Linked DNA regions of Mytilus edulis. Each later gene encodes a partner of the first gene's protein in a complex. Links are inferred from orthologs where the notes say so. Each region holds a gene or a part of one and is shown in the gene's direction. Other genes may lie near its edges. The genes, in order: protein bicaudal D-like and lissencephaly-1 homolog.

The links.
Region 2: protein bicaudal D-like (region 1) and lissencephaly-1 homolog share a complex: the UniProt entries of both Caenorhabditis elegans proteins name them as parts of the dynein-regulating complex. The link is inferred for Mytilus edulis from reciprocal best matches to the Caenorhabditis elegans genes bicd-1 and lis-1.

What each region holds. Positions count from the first base shown.
Region 1 is NC_092344.1:56,702,619-56,713,614, forward strand, and holds the start of protein bicaudal D-like, read left to right. Parts: upstream 1-6,401; 5' UTR 6,402-6,579; coding exon 6,580-6,795; intron 6,796-10,996. Other genes in the region: lysine-specific demethylase 7B-like, read right to left, coding at 719-777, 1,808-1,893, 3,958-4,058. UniProt on the Caenorhabditis elegans protein: Part of a complex with dlc-1 and egal-1, which is recruited to the nuclear envelope by unc-83, where in turn, it recruits dynein to the nuclear surface and regulates nuclear migration in hypodermal precursor cells.
Region 2 is NC_092349.1:6,456,431-6,466,677, reverse strand, and holds the start of lissencephaly-1 homolog, read left to right. Parts: upstream 1-5,441; 5' UTR 5,442-5,560; intron 5,561-10,247. Other genes in the region: RNA N(6)-adenosine-methyltransferase mettl16-like, read right to left, coding at 174-314, 1,123-1,444. UniProt on the Caenorhabditis elegans protein: Positively regulates the activity of the minus-end directed microtubule motor protein dynein. May enhance dynein-mediated microtubule sliding by targeting dynein to the microtubule plus end.

The sequences.
Region 1 (10,996 bases):
TAAAAAAAAATGTCATGGGTATTTTAAATATTTTCATTTCATTTCTTATTTAAATTCAGCAAATGTAATGTTGATGCCTTCTGTTATTGTTGTTTTCTTTTAATTCCCAATTTTTATCATAGTAAATAAAGGCGACAGTAGTATACCGATGTTCAAAAGTCATACGGTAAATTGATTGAGAGAAAACCAATCCTGGTTACAAACTAAAACCCCAGGAAACACAGTACATCAACTATAAAAGGAAAAAAAAACCGAAGCAACAGAAAAACTCCAAGTGCAACAAAAATTAAACGACAATGCAACATACATAGAATCAAACTATTAGATAACAACTACCAAATTTCTGACTTGGTTCAGGAAAGTGTTGTCATAAGGTTGTTTTCTGCTCTTGACAGGTTGTTTTTTCCTCTTTGACACATTCCCCGTTTCCATTCTCAATTCTATTTATACATTATCAGACTTCTTGAATGGTTTGAAGTTTGTCTTTTTGTTACCTTTCCCAAGTTACTATGCGGCATGAGATTTTCTCATTGATGAAGACATTACAGTAACCTTAATGGCTATTTTTTGTGTCATTTGGTCTGTGTTGGAGAGTTGTCTCATTGGCAATAATACCCAATCTTCTTATTTCAAAATTGAGAACTCTTTCTTGATTAAAATATTCGTATATGAGTGTTTATTGATGTGGTACATTTTTTTGTTAAATTATTATTAATACCTTATTCTCGACGTCAGCTTCAGAATAATCATGTCTGTGGAAATTTTGTCTCTTTTTCACTGAAAAAATCAAAATACATGTAATGCATTACAGCTGTCGAAAAAGATAATGCTACAACTCTATATTTTGAAATCTTTTGACAAATGAATTTACTAGCAAAGCAGATATTTCATGAACACAATGGGTTTTGCACAGTAATGAATCATATCAATTTGCTCTATATAGCAGATTTTAAAAAAAGATGAGATTTCCCAATGTGCAAATGGAAAATGCTAGAGTGCATAACAGGATTAATTAGGCATAACGTATACATAAAGTATAAAAAAGAAGATGTGGTATGTTGCCAATGAGACAACTATCCACAAAAGACCAAAATGACACAGACATTAACAACTATAGGTCACCGTACGGCCTTCAACAATGATGAGGCCCATACCGCATAGTGAGCTATAAAAGGCCCTGATAAGACAATGTAAAACAATAAGTAGTTCTTTTAATTGAAGTTTCAGACGTGGTCTATATTAGTAATGAAAACTAAAACATGTTCAGAAAGTTGTGCGAGTGGCTGCTAAAATCTTTTATTATTTAATGTTTAAAAAAACGAACTTCCAATGTTTAGTCTAAATCATTGCTTAATGCCCTTCTAAAAAGGCAAGACTTCAGAGAAAATGCTTTTTTTTGTTTGTTGATTAGCTATCATTGTTATTGCCTAAATTGATGTGCCTTTATTTCTTTCATAAAAGGAAATATTTTCCATCTGGTCAAAATGTATGGTGGAATTTGCAATGGATTTTGAAGTGTGACTGTCATTTGAACTGGATATAAGGCCAAACTAAAAAGAGATGTGTGTATTCTATTAACCTACCCTGACAATTTTTTTAATTTAAAAATTAGCCTACATGTACCCTAAAAAAAAAAAAAATCAATAAGCACTGTTAAAGTCTGATTGTATCTCCCATAGACTAATTAATGTAAAAAAAAATGTATGGTAAAATAAAAATAAAAATCCATACCTAACCACCCTGTATTTTTCATACATGTAACAGGAAACATGCATATATATTTTTTTGTCGTAATGTGTGTACTTACAGAGTAGAGGACCATGTGTAAGCTGGCAGTTTGGACAATGGTATATTTCAATATCTGATGCCTGATGTTCTTGTACACCTACACAGCTAAAAAATAAATGAAAATACTTTGCATAAAAATTCAAAACAATACCCTTTTTGATTATTATATCTATCTGCTCCATATTTTCAAAATTACCATAACTTTAATTAATTTCTATGAAACCGGACAATAATAAGGGAGAATGAAAATTTTAGAAATGAGGTGACCCTAAGAATTTTTCATAAAACCTAAATAAAAGGATTTGAACCTAAACAAGTTGACAGGTATTAGCAATGAAATGCAACTGTTATGAAACAAATCGGTCATAATTTAGTTTGATTTTTAGAATATAACTATAAGGATCACATGTGACACCCTGGACACAAATTGTGCATTTTTCTTTTACCTGATCAGTTTACCTAATTCTGGACCAGAGTTCTCAAGAACATTTTTAGACCTGTCAGTCATGGGACTTATACATGTACATGTGTAAGTCAGTCCTATACAAATTTTGCCAGTCCCACAATGACTAAAAAAAACCCACTTTATTTGAATTAGTTTTATACTTTACAGGCAAATTTTAATTTTCTACTCATAATGCTTCGTATCTATTTGTTTGGCTTCGTTGGTAGGTTTTGCTAAGGATGGCTCCATGAACAAATTTGGAAGGCCACATTCAGCTCACTGGGTTGGTCCGTTTAAAAACCAGTATTGTAGTTTCTAATTTATGAATTTCAAACTCTAATTGCTTTTGTGATTTGTACCTGAAATTAACTGTGGGTACATCTGATGACCAATATTAAAAAATGTACTGACATGGGCACTGCAATGGCTGTTAAAGCATCAGTCATCGAGACCACCACCAGCGGTATCAGGTCTGTTCGCGCCCAATATACTTTCGCACCCCACACGTACCCACCTCACATGGTCGCCCCCTATGTCTGTTCGCACCCTACACAGTCGCGCAGAATTTGTATTAGAATTTAAGTTGAATTATTAGATATTTTTTTACATGTATATACCGGATAATTTTATTCTCTTGAATAAAGTTTGAGGAATTATCATATATATTTTTTTATATAATTTGATGATTAATCATTTTAAAATCTTAATTATGTATGATTACTGCTAATTGGTATTTATAGACAGCCTAATTTGGTCTTATTTTTAATGGGTTTAAAAATCATGATTGTTGTTTTAATTCTTTTAACTAATGCTTTGATGTAATTAACTGCATATATTTAGCTTGGTATGACTAAAACTTTGAAGATTTTAAATAAAAAACATGAAAGATAATTGATGGCTAAATATTTATAACAATTCACTTTACAAAACACGTTTACAAATTATTAACCACAAAACCAATAAAATTTTAACTCGATCAGGATAATGTACGATTTGTATTTCATAGCATATGAGAGTTTAAATAAAATTTGGGCGCAAATGGACTTTGGTTGCAAACATGTAGGGTGCGAATGTGAAAGGGGGCGAACATGAATGGGTAAGTAAGTAAGTAATTAATGACTTGATTTGCCAACGTGATTGGGCGCGAACGGACCTGGATTCACCACCAGCAATCAAAATAGTAATACTGATCAGAGGTTTATTTTGGCAGTCAGGACTGACTATTTTGCAAACTCGGCTGGAATCTGTTTTGACAAAAAGACCAGCACTGACAAATATATTTGATCTGATTGAAAATTCAATTGCTTCATTGATTTAAAGCAGAACAAACCCGAGCTCACTTAAAAAATTGTGATTAGTTGTGCACAGACTAATCCGTAATTACTCTGACTAAAATGGCTGTTTTGCCAGACAAGCTGGGGCCGTGGGACGTCAGAGCTCGTCCCATATCAGTAGGTGGATATTTGTCCGTCCAAAATAGATGCGCTGCTTCGTTGCTTCTGGTGCCGTCAAAAAGCCTTGGAATTGGTTTATCTCTCACCTAGTGTGATAATGCATGGTTTGATTAAAGCAATGCCGCTTTTAAACAATCATACATAGTTTTACTTTAAAAATTATGGGTCTGTCATCTGTCAGGAACACTGACAGGTATAAACAACGACTAAAATTATGAGTTAGGGACTGTTAGTGTGTGGCAAAATATATAAATCTATAAGATGATTAACCTTCCATGAAACCAGTCTCTACAAATATCGCATTCTATCATAAACTCAGACTCGTCATAAGGTTTTCGACATAAACAATAGACCGTCTCAGTTTCGGCCATATTGTTTTGAGAACGGGAAATCGTTGTGCGCCTGCGCAATAAATTTAATTGGATCGGGATTTTGGGCACCTGCTAAAAAAAATTATCGGAACAGCGACTAAATAGTTCCGGTTTACGGTGTAGACAATCACGAGAGTACATTGAATATTTATAAACACTTGTAAAGTCGAATCTAAGGGTTTTCTCTCACAGATAAATTTAAAAGATTTATTTTGATTTTTAAAATGTTTATAATAAATACAACATTTTGCAAGGATTACTTTCCTTTTATATAAAACTATACTATACAATTATAGTCTTTGTATGATGTCGACGACACCATACAAAGGCAGCAGTCGATACAATGATATATCCTTTTAGCCTGGGGTCCTGGGTAATCTTGTCACCGAGATATCGGGCAGGGATACCAGGCTAATATACCTTATTTTTTCCATTTGATTAGGGACTTCCCGTTTTGAATTTTCTTCGGGGTTCCGGCAGTATTTTTGTGATTTTACTTTTTTTTAACCTGATCCCAGAGACAATGTATTATATATGTCTCTGGTTATACTTCATATGAGTAGCATAACGAAGTCAGATATCTATATTTTAATTAGATTGGTTTTTAGATATTCTTAAAATAACCGTGCAATATGTTTTTGCTATCCGCCGTTTTCTATCTACCCTCGAAAATATAGTCTAACATGTGACTATCCATTCAAAGTTCTTACAGGTTATTTCTTATTCTAGAAATAGGCGTATTGTGTACTCTTTTATTTAGTTCTGAATTATTTTCAAAATGTGATATTCGAATATCCACAACATTCATACATTTATTAAAATATATAATCAAGAGATTTTGTTGTATCAAAATGTCAAATGAAACATACAATATGCTATTTTCAATGTCTTCGATTAAAAATCAAAACCATTTTTTTTAAATTTTTTTTTGCTTTCCTCTTCCTCCATTGTATGCTTATTTCGAGTAATATTGACATTTGACAATTGCTTTTAGAAATGACAATAATCTTTTAATTAAGAACAAATTTAACAATCAAACTAGGAAAGTTGATAATTGAACTATATGACACTTAATTAAAATCAGAGTTATCATAATTGAGTTAATATCACAAATGAATATGTATTTCTTTGATTAACAAAGAAATCATAGTTTCACAACATTTTTGCTTCAAAAAGTTATAGATAGACTAGTACGACGTATCATCATCGAAATAGATTCTACTACTGCATTCATGAAACCATAGATGTAATGAAACTAACATTACCAGGTGAGGCGACTTATTCAATTATACTATGTTCAGTTCAACCTGTGACATTATAATATAATATATAATGTCACGGTGAAGATTTGATTGCAAATCTCAAAAATGTAACAGCAATCATTTATATTGATGACACATCCAGATGTGTCAAATATTGGAACATATTTTTGCCCATATTTTCAAAAGAAAGAAAATATTTGTTCGTGCCCTTATTTCTCCAACTCAGTGACCTGAGATTTCTATATCACATATAAATTGTTATAGTATTAGAATAACTCATAGAACGAAGATTTCTTTTAGTTATAACCTAGGACTCGTATATATCTTACTAGTGTAACAGTACCAATTTAAACTTACAAAACGTGAGTTTTTGATGCAAAGTGAAAACAAGTTTTTATATTTTCTTATGTGTTGTTCAAGTTTTGCATGTACCAGAAAATATGTTTCTGATGACACGTCTGTTAGTGGTAATCACTTCTTTAAAATGGAATTTTGATATAGACTTTCTCAGTGGCGGATCTTGGGGGTCTGCCGGGGTTTTGAACCCTCCATTATTTTTTAGACGATCAATGCATTTGAATGAACCCCCTTTATCCTTTGATGTCCCCACCCCCGGTTTTAACATGGCTGGATCAGCCCCTGTTTCTTTTATTTTACATAACATGCTTTAGTGTATCCTCGAGTGTATCATTCATAGTACCAGCAGAGACATATATAAATACATAGAGTATGTCTCTGATAGTACTAATTTGTTTAAAAACAAATGCGAGTTTTTTTTCCTTGACATATCCTGGGAATATTTGGCACTATTATACTAACATTAGTTAGTTAAAATAGTACCAGTCAATATATGTATCATGTTCCAGTGAGTATACCGATCATATGATAAATCATATACGGCCTAATGTCCTAATGCCATAAGAATTTGCATAATTTACATTAATATTTTCCAAGATCAATATATTGTAAACAACTGGTGATAGGTGACTTGTCTTAATATTTACTTTAATCTTTTTCTTATTGATGTACATTATGGGGACCAGATCTCGATAAATAGGATTAATTTTTAAAAACCCAACATAAACACGGTTAGCATTAAAGTTAATTAGGGTTTCCATATAAAGACAAGTCTGGTCACATGACAACATAGCTGCATAAATTAATAAGATGGCGACTGTATAGTATGGGGGAGTCTGCCCTTGAAACTTTCTTCCAATTTTCGTGTTATTTGAATAATTTAAGTCCTCTTTAGGTTAAAAATGTCAGATCCAAGTAGTGCCGACCAGTCTGTTGAAGAGTTGAGGCGAGAAGTCGAGCGACTGCAGACAGAACTTGCCGAGACGACACAAGAAAAGGTGCAAGCCGCTGAGTACGGACTTGCAGTGTTAGAGGAAAAACAGCAACTTCAACAGCAAATCGAAGAAATAGAGACACAATATGAAACATTAAAGCAAGAACTAGACACAGCTAAAGAGGTAAATATTATATTTATGGTTTTCACAGAGATTTGGGTGCGTCAATGCCCTTCTTATGACTAGCTGTCGTCAAGTTGGGGGAATATCTCAAAGTTGAATATTGAATTTTGCTATTCCGCGTGTCGTATTTGAAGACATCTAAACATACTTTTACATATTTTTGATTCTTCACATTATCTTGCATTTTAGCAGATTTAAAACCTCAACAGCATTTATTGGTCTGAATTGAACCAGAAAACGTTTTAACTGATTATGTACCTTGAGATTATCCTTATGATCAATCAATCACATTCCTTCATTAATCATTAGTGAAATTGAATGTCCAATAAAACCAAACATTGAATATTGCATTCAAATTTGTATCAGAGTTTGAAAACAACAAAGCAGGGCAAAAAATGTGGTTTAGTTGGAATTATTTACTTTAAAGTCATAAGAAACCTCAAATTAAAAAAATAATGCTTATGCTTTTTTTATTTAACTCAATGGATAGTTTCATTATAAAACTTATGTACATATATACTTTTTTCTGAAGAATTTTTTTAAATTAGTTCATATTTAGAAAAAGTTTAGTTTACTTTATGCACAGTCGCTTGAATTTTAGTGATATATAATAATATTATACATATAACAGTATTTTTTTCATTTTTTTTTTCATACATATATCACTAAAATTCAAGCGACTGTGCTTTATGTTAATTCCTTCCAGGAAGCAATTCCCCAACATATTTTCCGTATTCAAAGTGACCTCAGTGTGACCCATGTCGTAAAAATCTGGTGATCGTAATACGCATGGATGTCCTTTAAATAAACTATAATTATCTGATTGTACATGTTAAACACGTGGTCAATATCCATGCTTTTTGTTGATTGCTGACAAACAGGTGACAATCGTTCAACTTCGGCTTCAATACACGAACTTTAATTACCTGCCATATTTTCTCAATAACACTGACCGATTGAAAAAAAATTGGTGATTTTACGAAATTTATGCGAAAAAATTTATAAAATTGTGCACAGAAAACTGTTTATGATGTTTGTATGCATTGGTACATGAATTAGAATAACATTATTTTTCACCGGTCACTCGTTTCATATGACTTTAAGATTCAAGAAAAAAAAAGATGTCCCCCTTTTAAAGGGAAAATTTCTTGATATGCTTTTGAAATTTTCATTGGATGAATTTCCGTTGTTAAGCAATCACATATTTTGATGTACACTTTTGAAGAAATTAACCAAGAAGGCTTTAGATTCTATAGTCTGTCTATTAACAGCTGTTTTGCCAGACAAGCTAGGGTCATTGGACGCATTTCATGAAAACATATACCCTGGTATTGTTTGTATTACTCTATTAATTGTTGGTTCTTATTTACATGAATATTATTTTACAGGAGCTTTTAAATAATCCTGCATGGGTATAAATTATGATACATTTATAAAATGTGCATTTGTTTTTCGTGCAGTGGTTTCGTGGTGACAGGGATAAGTTTATTGTTGATAGTTTGGATACATTTTTAAGCACACTTTGTTTGGTTGCATGTTAAAATACGATTTATAAGCTGGCAATGGTACCTGTAATGTTATGTTCCATTGTGAGGCAAAGGAAAAATATTAGATGATTTAAAATGTTTTTAGATAAAAACCCTTTGTGATGGCCACACCATGACAGAGGAGGCTTCAAGTTTTACCCTTGTCCATCTGGTCCTCTGTCTGTATGCTCTAAAATTAGTTTCAGATTTCTAACTTTAGTTTGTCTCAACCAAATGTAATGAAACTTGTACACAATGGTTAATATTACCTCCATGCACAGATAAGTTTGAATTTGGGGGTTTCACTTTTTTTTTCGAGGGATGTCCCTTTATGAACTCTGAATATATTGTTTACATATTGACAAGTAGGGCAATCTGTGTCGTGTCGTGTCGAAGGCATTGGACACAGATCTTCATTCATTTATACATTTATCTTTCTTTTCAATGTTTTTATTGATTATGAATCAGAAACTGAAGTCTTTTTATTATCACTGGAAGCCATGTCCAGTTTCATGTCTCTGTTTTAAATTTTAACATGTCCTATGTTTGCATGAAATATTTGTCAATGTACGTTCAGCAAACAATAATCCATAAATCCTGTTTTTATGTGAGATTTTAATAACAAGATGCAAGTTCTAGAAAAGAGGTGGTCCTAAGCTTTTGGCCAACAAAATTTTGCAAGGGCAGACTCAATTTTGTTATTTAGCAATAGTGATGACCAGCAGATTTTCTTCAAAGAATACTCGGGGGTGGGGGGTGGAAAAATACCCCACATTTCAGTTAATTTAGTCATATGTGTGACATAAATATAATTTTAAGCAACCTACATGTTAAATGTACCTATCCTTTTAAGCAATATAATGGAATTTATTTTCTTCACATGACCTGAATTAAAGATGTAGGCAGAAGGTGTTGGTTGTTTAATTTATTTCTAAAGATTCAGGTAAACTTTAAAAGTTATGTGTTAACAAATATGAATGAACCTTTATGTCTGTTTAACTCATAAGGCTACGGGTGTAGTTTTTGATGTGTTGTAATTAATTTAACATGTAACACATGTGTTATTAATGGGATGTATCTGCTGGTATTCATACATATCTTATGCACTGTCAACCATAAGTTTGGGCTAAACAGCTTATGAATTCATAATTCAAATCATGATTATATTACATTTTCATAAATTTTATTCCAAATAAGGGAAGATCATTCATTGTTGGGATTTTTCTCATTTCTTTGATTTTTAATCTTTAACCCAAATTATATTTAAATGATACAATATTTGTATTTTGAATAAAGTATTTCATGGTTCAGAAGTCCAGATCAAGAGAAAGTTGTTAAATATATATTATATAATTTCTTTTGATTACATTAGTGAAATTAAAGTGATACAGGATTATATTCTAAACAACATTTTAAATTGTTTGAACATATTAACATATGATCTGGTTGATCATAGCATTTTGAATATTATTGAAATTATGCTTAATAATATTATTAATTTATAAATCATACAAATTACAATCAATAAAAGTACTAAATATTAATGCATCTTGTGTTAAACAATTGTAATATTATGTTCTCATGGAGGAAAAAATATAATTTCTTACAATTGTATGTTGTGAAAATAAATGATTTAATACATGCACATTAATAATGTACCTTATACATCATGGTATAAATGCTTAAAAATATACTTTTTTGGTACCAGCCTGCCTTGCAACCCAATAAAATTCATTTAATTGAATGCCTACTCTTAACACATTTTATGAATACATTTAGAAAAGCGCTGTTGAAATCCATACTTTTTAATTAAGTACATCCAGAAAATTTCCCTACAAGAAGAAGTTTTATGTAATATGTAAAATATTTTTCAAAAATAAAATGATTTCACATTGAATGTAACAACCCAATTTATTTTCTCTGCCAGGAAGAAGAAAACAAGTATACATATTTTCGTTCTTAAAAAACTATGTATGTGCATTTCCTACATGTCAAGAGCAATTAAACGCCTCATCAGGGATAGTCTTTGTCTATATATCATAGTTTTTATTCCATTATAACATTGGCTGATGATGGCAGATGTTTATTTTCTTATCTCTGTTAAGATTTATTCGCAACTTTTCCACACATTTACTGTATGGTTAAGACTCTAGTCTAATGAAGGTCCAGGCATACATGTATAAAGACATCTTTTCTGGTTTTATTCCTTTGCTTGGTAAAAATACATTCCTGACCTACATGTACCTAGTCCTACATCTCCATGTAGACATAAAAAAAATAGTTTCTGCCTTTCTGATCTATATTAGAAACTACTTTCCACTTTGTGGTCAAGCCCAATGATTTAGAGATAAACGAATTATTCAATTTTCTAAATAAACAAACTTCTGACAGAAATAAGCTACAAGCTAAAACCTGTATATCATATACTTAATGTGTAAACTAAATACTAACACATTAGATCAAACCATTATGTCATGTACACAAAAAATAAGTCTGTCATTGTGTCTGTTGAGCAAACCACCTAAAATAATATGTTTATTTATTTATTTGATTATACAATGTTCAGTACAGTACAGGTACTAGTTAACATGTCAGTGATGACAGTTTAAGTGTATATCACATAAATTATAGTGTTGACAATAAGGGGTAATAATGATACATTCTTATTTAGTTCT
Region 2 (10,247 bases), on another chromosome or scaffold:
ACAGTAATACACATTTTTATCACTTTTCTATAGTTATAGGAAACGAGCCCAATAGCAAATTATGGTCCATATATATCTAACAGATTACAAGTTTGATACTCTGGCATCTCTTTAAAACTTAGTTTTTACTGACATTTTATTGATATGATTGATAAAATTAAAACTATTTTTACCTTGTATTAAATTGGTCATCTGGTTTCTTTCCACATTTTTGACAGCACATGTAAAGTTTGTATCATCAAGTTCAGTAGCAAGAAATCTCCATTTATTCATCCTAGCAGAGAGGAGGGGATATACACAACTTCCTCCTGTTCCTGTTAAAAACAAAAATCAGAATTTAACGTTTTCCTGCTATTACCAGCAGAGCTATTTTCCTAATGCAACTAAATTAAAAGTTTGGTTGTTATTTTAGCATGTTGAATGTTTGTCTGATACAAACCTTTTCCAGGACTTATTTTCATTGTATGTTCTCTCTAAATGCAGGTTTTGTTAATCTAAACATCACGTTTTAAAACGAGGAGCATATACCTCTCATATAAAAATCATTTCAAGTAAATCAAGTCACATCTGCATACACAAGTGCCTGTTCTGAGTTCAGTTGTTGTCTTAAATTAGTCATATCTTAATAGTTTTTTTCTCATTTAAAGAATTAGTTAATAAAGGCAAGTCTTTAATCATGTTAATTGTTTCTATTTCATTTATGTAACTTTTTTTACTTATAAACTCAAACATTAAAAGCTTGTCAAGTTACATTGAGTGTTAGTCTTGTTTTTTTGTAAAAGACTGTTATATTGCCCTCTGGATGTCATTGTTATTATTATCCTATCAGAATTAATTGACCTCAAGGAGAATATTTGACATTTAAGGCCCTTTTATACATGTAGCTGACTATGCAGTATGTGCTTTTTCATTGTTGAAGGTTGTAGTGACCTATAGATGTTACAAATGTAACTTCTGTGTCATTTGGTCTCATGTGAAGACATGGAAGAGTAAAAAAATGTTTCATTGGCAATCATACCACATTTCCTTTTTTTAATCGTGGAGAATATTTTCTGATTCTACATGTTCTATATTTTGTTTCTCAAGATTCTAATAAATTATAATATGTATGCTTAATATTACCAACATCTATTCCTAAAATGTCTCCCTTAATACTGGAATCTTTCAAAATATCTTCTATCCATAAGATATAGTTAAGCCTCAAAGGAATGGTAGGTACCAGTCTATCAGGAGGCAACACAACATCCAATCCAAAGTCTTCTTTCATAAGTGTGGTGGAAAGCTGTCTTAAAGAATCAGGATTTCTGAAGTCAAGAAAAAGCTTTCCACTTACATCTGGATAAACATGTTTCCTAAATTCTGGATATTTGATGGCAAGGTACTGGAAATTTGCCTTCTTGCTTTTGTACTTGTTCCTTGGATGCATGAACTTATTCAACGCCATAATTAATTCTGTAAAAAATATTTTATTAAAGGTAAATAAATTACACTTGTACAGTTTGTATAAGTACATGTATCTTACAAATTCCGCAGAATATGTGTTTAGTTCATTAAAAGTTATCTTTTTTTGTGCAGATAGAATAAGAAACTACATGATCATGAAGAGAGTGGGAAAATACCTTTTTCTGCCAGTTGTATGTTTTGGGTGACTTTTTTCAAAAGACAAGTTAAGTACCTTGTTTTATATGAGGACGAAGTTCTCTGTAACAGTAGAAAAATCAATAAAATAAAAAAAAAAATTGGTCAGGAAATTTTCATTGTACTCATCAACTCAAAATTGTTAACTTTTATTTGTCGCTTTTTTAATTCCTGCATTTGCACAGAACACAGAAACTACTTCCTTCTTCTGGTCTCGTTGTCGTGAGACTTTGAGTAGTCTAGTAAAATATAGGAACTCAAGGAACACAATACCAAAATTTCATTTTAATACTCATGTCTCTGATATGAATTAACGTTACGGTTACCATGGTTACCTGATGCATTGTCTTTCATGTCTTTCTTTGTTTACATTGAACATCACATCATAACTTAAATAACATCACAAGTAACAAATCCATAACAACAGAATCAAAATCTGATATTTCCGTTTCTTTTTTTTAACAAATATTTAGTTACAAAAAAAATAATTCATACAGACTTACTCCCCATTCACAGGTAATGCCTGCCTCATAATATTATGGTACATAAGATTAATGCTCTTCTTGTGGATGATTTATTTAACTTTGAAGATAAGCTATTACAATTAATAGTGGACTGTACAAAATTCCAGTATGGATAAATATTGAGCGCCTGTTAAGCAGCTTATGTTTTGGTCTACATCAGAAGAGAACTAGTTTATTACTATGAAGACTGTTTGTATAGTTTTCCAAGTTAAAAGAGACATATAGTGCAATATTTCATTTTTTGAGTGTGGTATAGATGATAATAATTTCTTAAGATTTAAACTGATTGTTAGTTTAATATTTTTAAACAAATCAGTTAGGCGGTCTTATTTAACGCTTATATGATAGGTGATAATTTTACACCTTCTTTTTAGATTTTAAATGTTTACTTGTTGCTAAGTCATAAGTACATGAAGTACAATTAACATGATTAACAGTGAAATTTTTCATTACCGTAAGTTTAAGAATTAATAATTCTGTAGTAAGGCTCTCTTGATAGGGGTAAATACTAGGTATAAGAGCAAGGGTTAGGAATTACAGTTCGCATTTTATGAGCATGTTTAAGTGTGAAATAGACATTTGCTGATCTGAGCAAGTTTTACAGTCAATATGCGTTGTGGATACATGTGATGTATATATATTCTATTGATGAGGAGAGAGACACAAGTGAAATAAAGGACAAAATGACAGTGGATCAATCTATCAAGTTTTAGATTTTAAAATATGACTGTACATGCTGTATATACAGTTTGAATACTTTTAAATAAGTGTGGTGGTGGTGTATATAAGTGTAAATGTATATATACATGTAGAAGATGTTTTTAATCCAATAATAGTGAATATTCAATAATAAGGGATTCTACACTTCAAGAGGATTTTCCAACTGAAGTGGTTCATCTGGTAAAGGTGGAAAATACAGAATACAATGGAATAGGTAACATATGGGGGGGGGGGGGGGGGGGGGGGAAATTCAAGACAAGTGCCTGTGGCTTTCTTGTGTGCTTTGAGATTGAGTTGAGCACCCAACTTCAAGAGCATTGAGGCTCTCAAAATTTATATCAAAAACACTTGTTCAAACTAATTTTTCCTGCAGGCATCAATATTCAAGAATATTTTGTCAATTTAGAAACAAAAATATATATATATATATATAAAGATATAGGAGGTAGGTAATGGGAGTATCTTCAGGCTTCATGATGAATAACAGTAAAACTTCAAACCAATTGCTGTAACTGTAATTTTTTGTGCATGACAATAATATGTACACTTTTATACGATAAACAATTGACTTACATGACTTATTTCGACATTATTCCAAAAATGATGCAAAAGATAATTTAAATATTTTGATAACTCTTACGAATCAAAAGAAGGATATTTTGACAAATCATGGTAAAATTTAACTAATTTAATGCTTTACAGTAGCCAAAAATTATCGTTTGACGACTGACGGTATTAGACATTTCTACCCCATATATGATACACAGGGGCTTGTTTAGTGGCTCAGACGAGGTTTTACTGTCAATGGCGATCGCTATCCTATATATTTTGTTTTTTTTCATACTGTGTATGATCATATAGAGCACTTCTATCCAAAGCGAAAGACTCGCGAGTACGAGGACGACTATAATATGGGGACAAAGTCCCCTATTACAGTATAAAATTCAAAAAAAAAAAAAAATTGGGAAAATTTCGGTCATTGTACTAATGAACTCAAAATCGTTCAATTTTTTTTTTGTCATGTTTTTTAATTTCCGGATCTGCTCAGAACACATAACTCTACTTCCTTCTTCCAGTCTTGTTTTCGTGAGACTTTGATTAGTCTAGTAAAATATAGGAACTCAAGGAACACAATACCAATATTTCATTTTTAATCATTCTTTGTCTTTGGTATGAATTAATATGGGGACGGAGTCCCCAATAACAGTAGAAAATTCAATAAAAAAAAAAAATACGGGAAAATTTCCCGAATTTTTCATTGTACTAATGAACTCAAAATCGTTCAAATTTTTTTTGTCGTGTTTTGAAATCCCGGACCTGCGCAGAAATGTATAATGTACTTCCTTTTTCCGGTCTCGTTTGTATGAAACTTTGAGTAAAATATATATTTATCAGTCTAGTATGCCAGCTTTAGCTGGCACTTATGGTAGAAGCATCGTTTTGGAATAAAGAACGATAACTCTCTCTACACGACCCATCTGAAAAGTTTCGTCACTCTCGTTAAATCTCGTATGATTATTTTTTTTAATGGCGGCCGAATTTAACGTTTCAACGTGACCTTGAAAAAACGGGACAGATCGGAATAATTTTGATATTAAATACAACATGAATTTTTATTTGTTTGCAAAAACAAGAATTCAGAAATTTTGGTTACTTGTGTAGCTTATCTAAATTTTATCGTACCACGGAAATTATCGAAGTTAGGACAACAACATCTGACGCCATGTTTCGTCTGCTTCAACATTCCTTTAACAGTGAGGTCAAAACAAATTACCCAAATAATCACAGGTACTTCATTTAAAAGTTACAAAATCATAGATAACGTTAACATATTTAGCGTAAAAGTTCCGTCCAGCCATGGGAACACAGAAAAAATCTCTGCAAGCAATATATTTCGGATTTTTTTTATAATGGCCATCTGGTCCGGCTTGCGGGGGAAAAATGTTACCTGATGATAGCGTTTCTTTGTTTACATTGCATATGACGTCATAATTTAAATAACGTCACAACTAAATCCCTAACAACAGAACAAAAATCGGAAACGTTACGGTATTTACGTTTCTTTTTTTTTAAACAAATGTTTTTAAAAGTTACAAAAAAATAATTCATACAGACTTCGTCCCCATTTACAGGTAATGCCTGCCTCATATTAAACGTTAGGCCTACCTGATGCATTGCGTTTCTTTGTTTACATTGAACATGACGTCATAACTTAAATAACGTCACAAGTAAAATCCCTAACAACAGAACCAAAATCGGAAACGTTACGGTATTTCCGTATCTTTTTTTGTAACAAATATTTAAAATACAGAATACAGAATTAAAATAAAAAAAAAAATTTAAGCAAACTTCGTCCTCATTCACAGGTAATGCCTGCCTCATATTATCAAACACCATCGTGTACTTACCGTTAAATAGTTTAAGGAAACTTAAATAAGCAACTTCAAATGTCTACTAGCAAATGTTATTTCAGGACAGCATAAAATGTATGAAAACGTCTAAAAAACAACGTTTCAGGGGCGCAGACATATTGGATCCCGAGGAAGTCTCGTTGTGCGACTTCCGTATGTTTTCCGTATGCGCATGCGTATTCATACAATTTTCGGACGAATTTACGTGTGGAGTCCTGCAAGTGATAATATTTTCGTTGATTTAAGACATATTCCAATGGTTTACAGGTAAAATTGAAGAAAGGAATTATGCATGACCTAGAAATTTTAAATTTATATTGGAAAAATTGCTGTTCTTGTGCCTTATTTTCAAAATGAATTGCAGACAGCTTCATAATGGCGGTCTGTGACATTATAAATCAATGAATGACTTCATGCAAAAATTAACATTTCATTAAATTTCAGACATACTTTTGTATGTCATTTATCTTTTTACATGTACGATTTATACGTGTGTAAGTGTGAAATTGATTATGTTTTAACCATTTATGCAAAATTAGACATAAATTGACCATTGTCTTTCTAATGACAAGTTTGACAGTTGTGGAGTATTTTTGCAACCCATCCCTCAGGCAGACAGCAAAAGTTATTCAAGATGTGATACTTAATGAATTCGTCTTATTTTGTTTATTAGAATGAACATCAGGCAAATGCTGTCTGATGATCTCAGATTGTATCAGTTGATTTAGAGTTCGTTTGTTTTGATCTTTAAATTCTGATAATTTATGATGTCAAAATTTTATTTTCATGTTTGGTCTGCTTGTCAACCGAAATTTCAGTGTAATACGTATTTTAATTGTTAATATAGCTATATTTAGGCAAAAAAAATAATATTTATGCAGTCTGCGACGTTAAGCGGTAGCCTGAAGCCCGTGTCTAGTTTAAATAAGCTCAGACTAGTTTACATAAACTACTGATACATTGTACACTGCCGATAGTCCGACCGGTCTAGTGGCAGTGCATATCTGTGTGCACTTTTTTAATCGTTACCATCAGTTAACGCAGAATGTCACTCAACGCCATCTATATTAATTAACTGATACTCTCTTCCTTACAAAAATACCGTTAACCAGTTTTGACAGTCTCCCTAATAACCGATTGTTCAAAATAAAATAAAAAGCACGAAAAACGGTTAGTACCACATGTTTTCAAAATGTCAAATTTTGGTAATTATTGATTGATTTATGTTGCATAGACTGAATAAAATATAATAACAGAAAATAAAAAAACATTGATCATTTTTCAATTTTTTGCGTCGAAAGATATTAATTCGTAACTGCCCACTTGACATCTTGTGTATTTTAGACGATTGCTTATTAGGACGATTTCGATGACTGGGTACCATTAATTTTATGAAGAAGTGGAACCAGTTTTGTTTTCATTTCGAAAGTGTACACATAATTTTGGTCACAAACATCATTTATACAAGGCTTCACTGTCGGATAGTGCGAGACCTGGAAAGGCACTAGTCTGAGATTACTCTGATGTCCAACGGCTATTTTGCCAGACAAGCTGGGGCCATGGGACCACCGCTTGTCTGGCAAAACAGCTGTTGGACGTCAGAGTAATCTGGGACTAGAAAGGAAACAAAAGGGCCGTCTCGCACGTCCTACCAAGTTACAGAGGCTTAAAAGAAATACGAGGATAAACGGGTTAGAGAATTTAAAATTCATTGGATGGACGGTCGTCCCTGGCTCCAGTACTATGAGTACGAGAATCTAGTTATGTTCTGTAGCTACTGTAAGGAGCAGGGAAAAGGAGGCAAATTTGTATCTGTATTTGTTATTGTATTTGAACAGAAGTTGTTCAGCAAATTGAAAAATATTATGAAAAATTATGAAGAATAAAATTTTAACTGATTGATTTTCTTCTTTTCTTACGGTCTGCATCAGAAAAGATGATCTCTTTAACTTCCAAAGTCAAATTTGAATGAGAAATTAATTTAAACAAAATTTGATGGCAAGGGGTTTATATCTACTTGTATACATTTATTTTACATGTACATGTATGTCTTAAATTCAAAGAAAAGAGTCTTTAACAGTCTTGTCAACAGTTTTTAGAAGGTTTTTTAGTAGAATTTTTCATATTACATGGAGAAAAAACTCTACATTTTTGAAAAGTTATCTACACTTCCAGATACAAAAATGTAACCTCAGATTGCAGGATTTTACATCTAATATTCCAAAAGTTCCAAAATGACATAAAAAGTGTTAGGGTAGGCACTAAAAATGTATGGTTAGCGTAAACACAAGTATTATTTATTTTTGTCTTATTGTTTAGAGCAGTTTGAATATCTATCCTGCTCGTAAGGTCAGACTGGACAGAACTTGTCTCTTGATACCCTTGGTCTTATCAAATGGTACACTGTTGCTCAAAGCAATTTTCCATGTTACCAAGTCTAATGAATTTTAACAAAAAAAGTTGCATCAACGGTTTAATTATAATTATACAATGTTCTATAAGTATTTGAACATTTTGAATATACTACATGTATAAATAACATAATTGGTGATTTCAATTACATGGAAGTACTTTGCATATTCATATATTTTCTATTATTATTACCTGCCAATTCTCATCAACAGTAATTGGAAGGTGAAGTGAAAATCTTTGTTTACATGTTGAAAGCAATGTAGTGTTGAATAAAAATCGCACACTAACTTTCCTTTAAACCATCATAACTTTGTCATTTCTTATCTTTTTTCACGGTAGACAGACGATTGATTTTGAAATTGCGCGTCTGATCTTTTTTTTTATACACTGTATTGTTACCAGAAATATGCCATTTATCTAATAGCCCTTACTGCTCGCGGTAACAGCCCGGTACATCAGAGGGCCATGTCAAGTGGGTGATAAACATGTCGGTTTCTTTATATTTTTGGGATACGATTGCTTTCAAGCAATCTGTAGACTTATACTGGTGGCTCAGAGCATTGCCCTCACGTCAATCGTTTTATTCTAAACATTAAGGAACATCTCAGATTCTTATGATTGTCTTGCTTTAAAAGGTAAAAACAAACAAAGGGATTGAACTTTAACAACTTTCCTATAATGTTCTTTTCATAATCTTCATGTTTGATAATTCCCTTGACTTATATGCATGTTTTTAACAACACGGAAAATCAAAATTACGCAGTATTTATATTTAGTGTTTTTCTAAATTTAGAAACACGTTAGAGGGAATTCCCAGTTTGATAAAATGCGAGAGTTCTCTGAATTCCGATAAATCTATTTCTGTCATATAAGAACTGAAGTGGAGTTTTTCTTATATTTTACCTTTATGAAACTGATATTTGAGATTGTACTTCCATAAAGAAATAGAGAACTATCTAGATCGTTTAATAAACATTTAATATATCTTGCTCCAGGTTTTTTTTGGAAATTATGCGCATGCGTATAGTTTTCTTGACTTCGAGGGGTTTTCGATTGAATGGTTGCTCTGGATTCCCCACTCAATTAATTAATGTTAAACTCATGGGATCTTTTCTATGTATGTCTGCTATTGAAGGTTATTATTGTTGCATAATTTTAAATCATATGCATCATTTAAATTAAAGTAAATATAGTCCACATCGTAGAACACCCCTTCAGGCGAAATGGAGTCTTCCATATTATTGTTTCGAGTTGTCTCCCTTCTGGAAGTAACTTCCGTGAATTCTGAATTAAAACAATACGTCAGGTATTAGCTCGTTCTGTCAATAAAGTGTATTATATTAAAAATGATCGAAATTTAAACCGATAAATGTGTACGGAAAGGAGTCATGATCAGTGACCGAAAGGAAATTAAATATTTAAAGAGTTAGGAATGGGGTTCCTCCTAGAATTAACGTAGGAAAATAGGTGATAAGATACGAAGTGAAATACCTTCTCTCACTCTGAGTCTCAGTGACTGCTGTGGAAAGTAAACTTGGAATTGATAGTACAAAAATAAAACACAATAGGCCTAATTGCATTGTTCATACACATTTATCCGGGATTGGCTATTTTGTAACTATTTTACATGTGCAGTTGAATTAGTTTTGAAAATAATATTATCCAGCTACATGTATACATGTACATGTGTCAACGAAACAACGGCAATCGTATCCCTCAGAGCAATCTGCTCTTTGATTATCATTTTTCTCTGATCGAACTGCTATCCTGGGAATGCTTATTTTGTACCAAGCAAAGTGTTCACTCTCCTTCTCATATGACCTCCTTGATTTCATGAAAACTGGATGTACATGTACATGTACATGTAATCCTGCATAATAAGCCCCTTTGTCTGGATAATTGCTTTCCTATTATTTACATCAACATTTATTCCTGTTAAAACTGAAGTTGATAAGAGAGAGGATAAGGGCTCTGAATGACCCATGTGGATTTCACAGACTCAACAGTTTTAGAGAATTTGCCCCAAGGGGCTAGTTAATCTGCCTGGTGAAATTATCTGTAATTAATGATTTCAAATACTGTACTTACTACAATGTACATATATCACAAGGTTCTCACTGAGGTGAGTCAATGAGTCCTGGACTCACCATTTTCAAAACTGGTGAGTCCAAAGATGCATTGATCAAGATTGTAAAATTTTTATAAACTGAACACACATACATTTTGTAGCATCATTTTATAGCAAAATTTAATGTAATTTCACTGCTCTATTAGGTCATGGAGACTAGAATGATAAATATATTGCTATAAAATATCCTTTTCTTAATGTTGGACTCGCCAGTGTTAAAAATGACATGTCTCTATACTCGCCTTCACAAATCCTTAATAAGAACCCTGTATCATATAGGCAACTTTGCCTTGTGTTCCAATTTCTGCTTTTTGTCTTGTATGCAGGTATTGAGGATTGTACGATGTACGATGTCAATTACTAACTTATGAAAATATTGCTATACATTAGTATTGCCATAATTGCTGGACTATG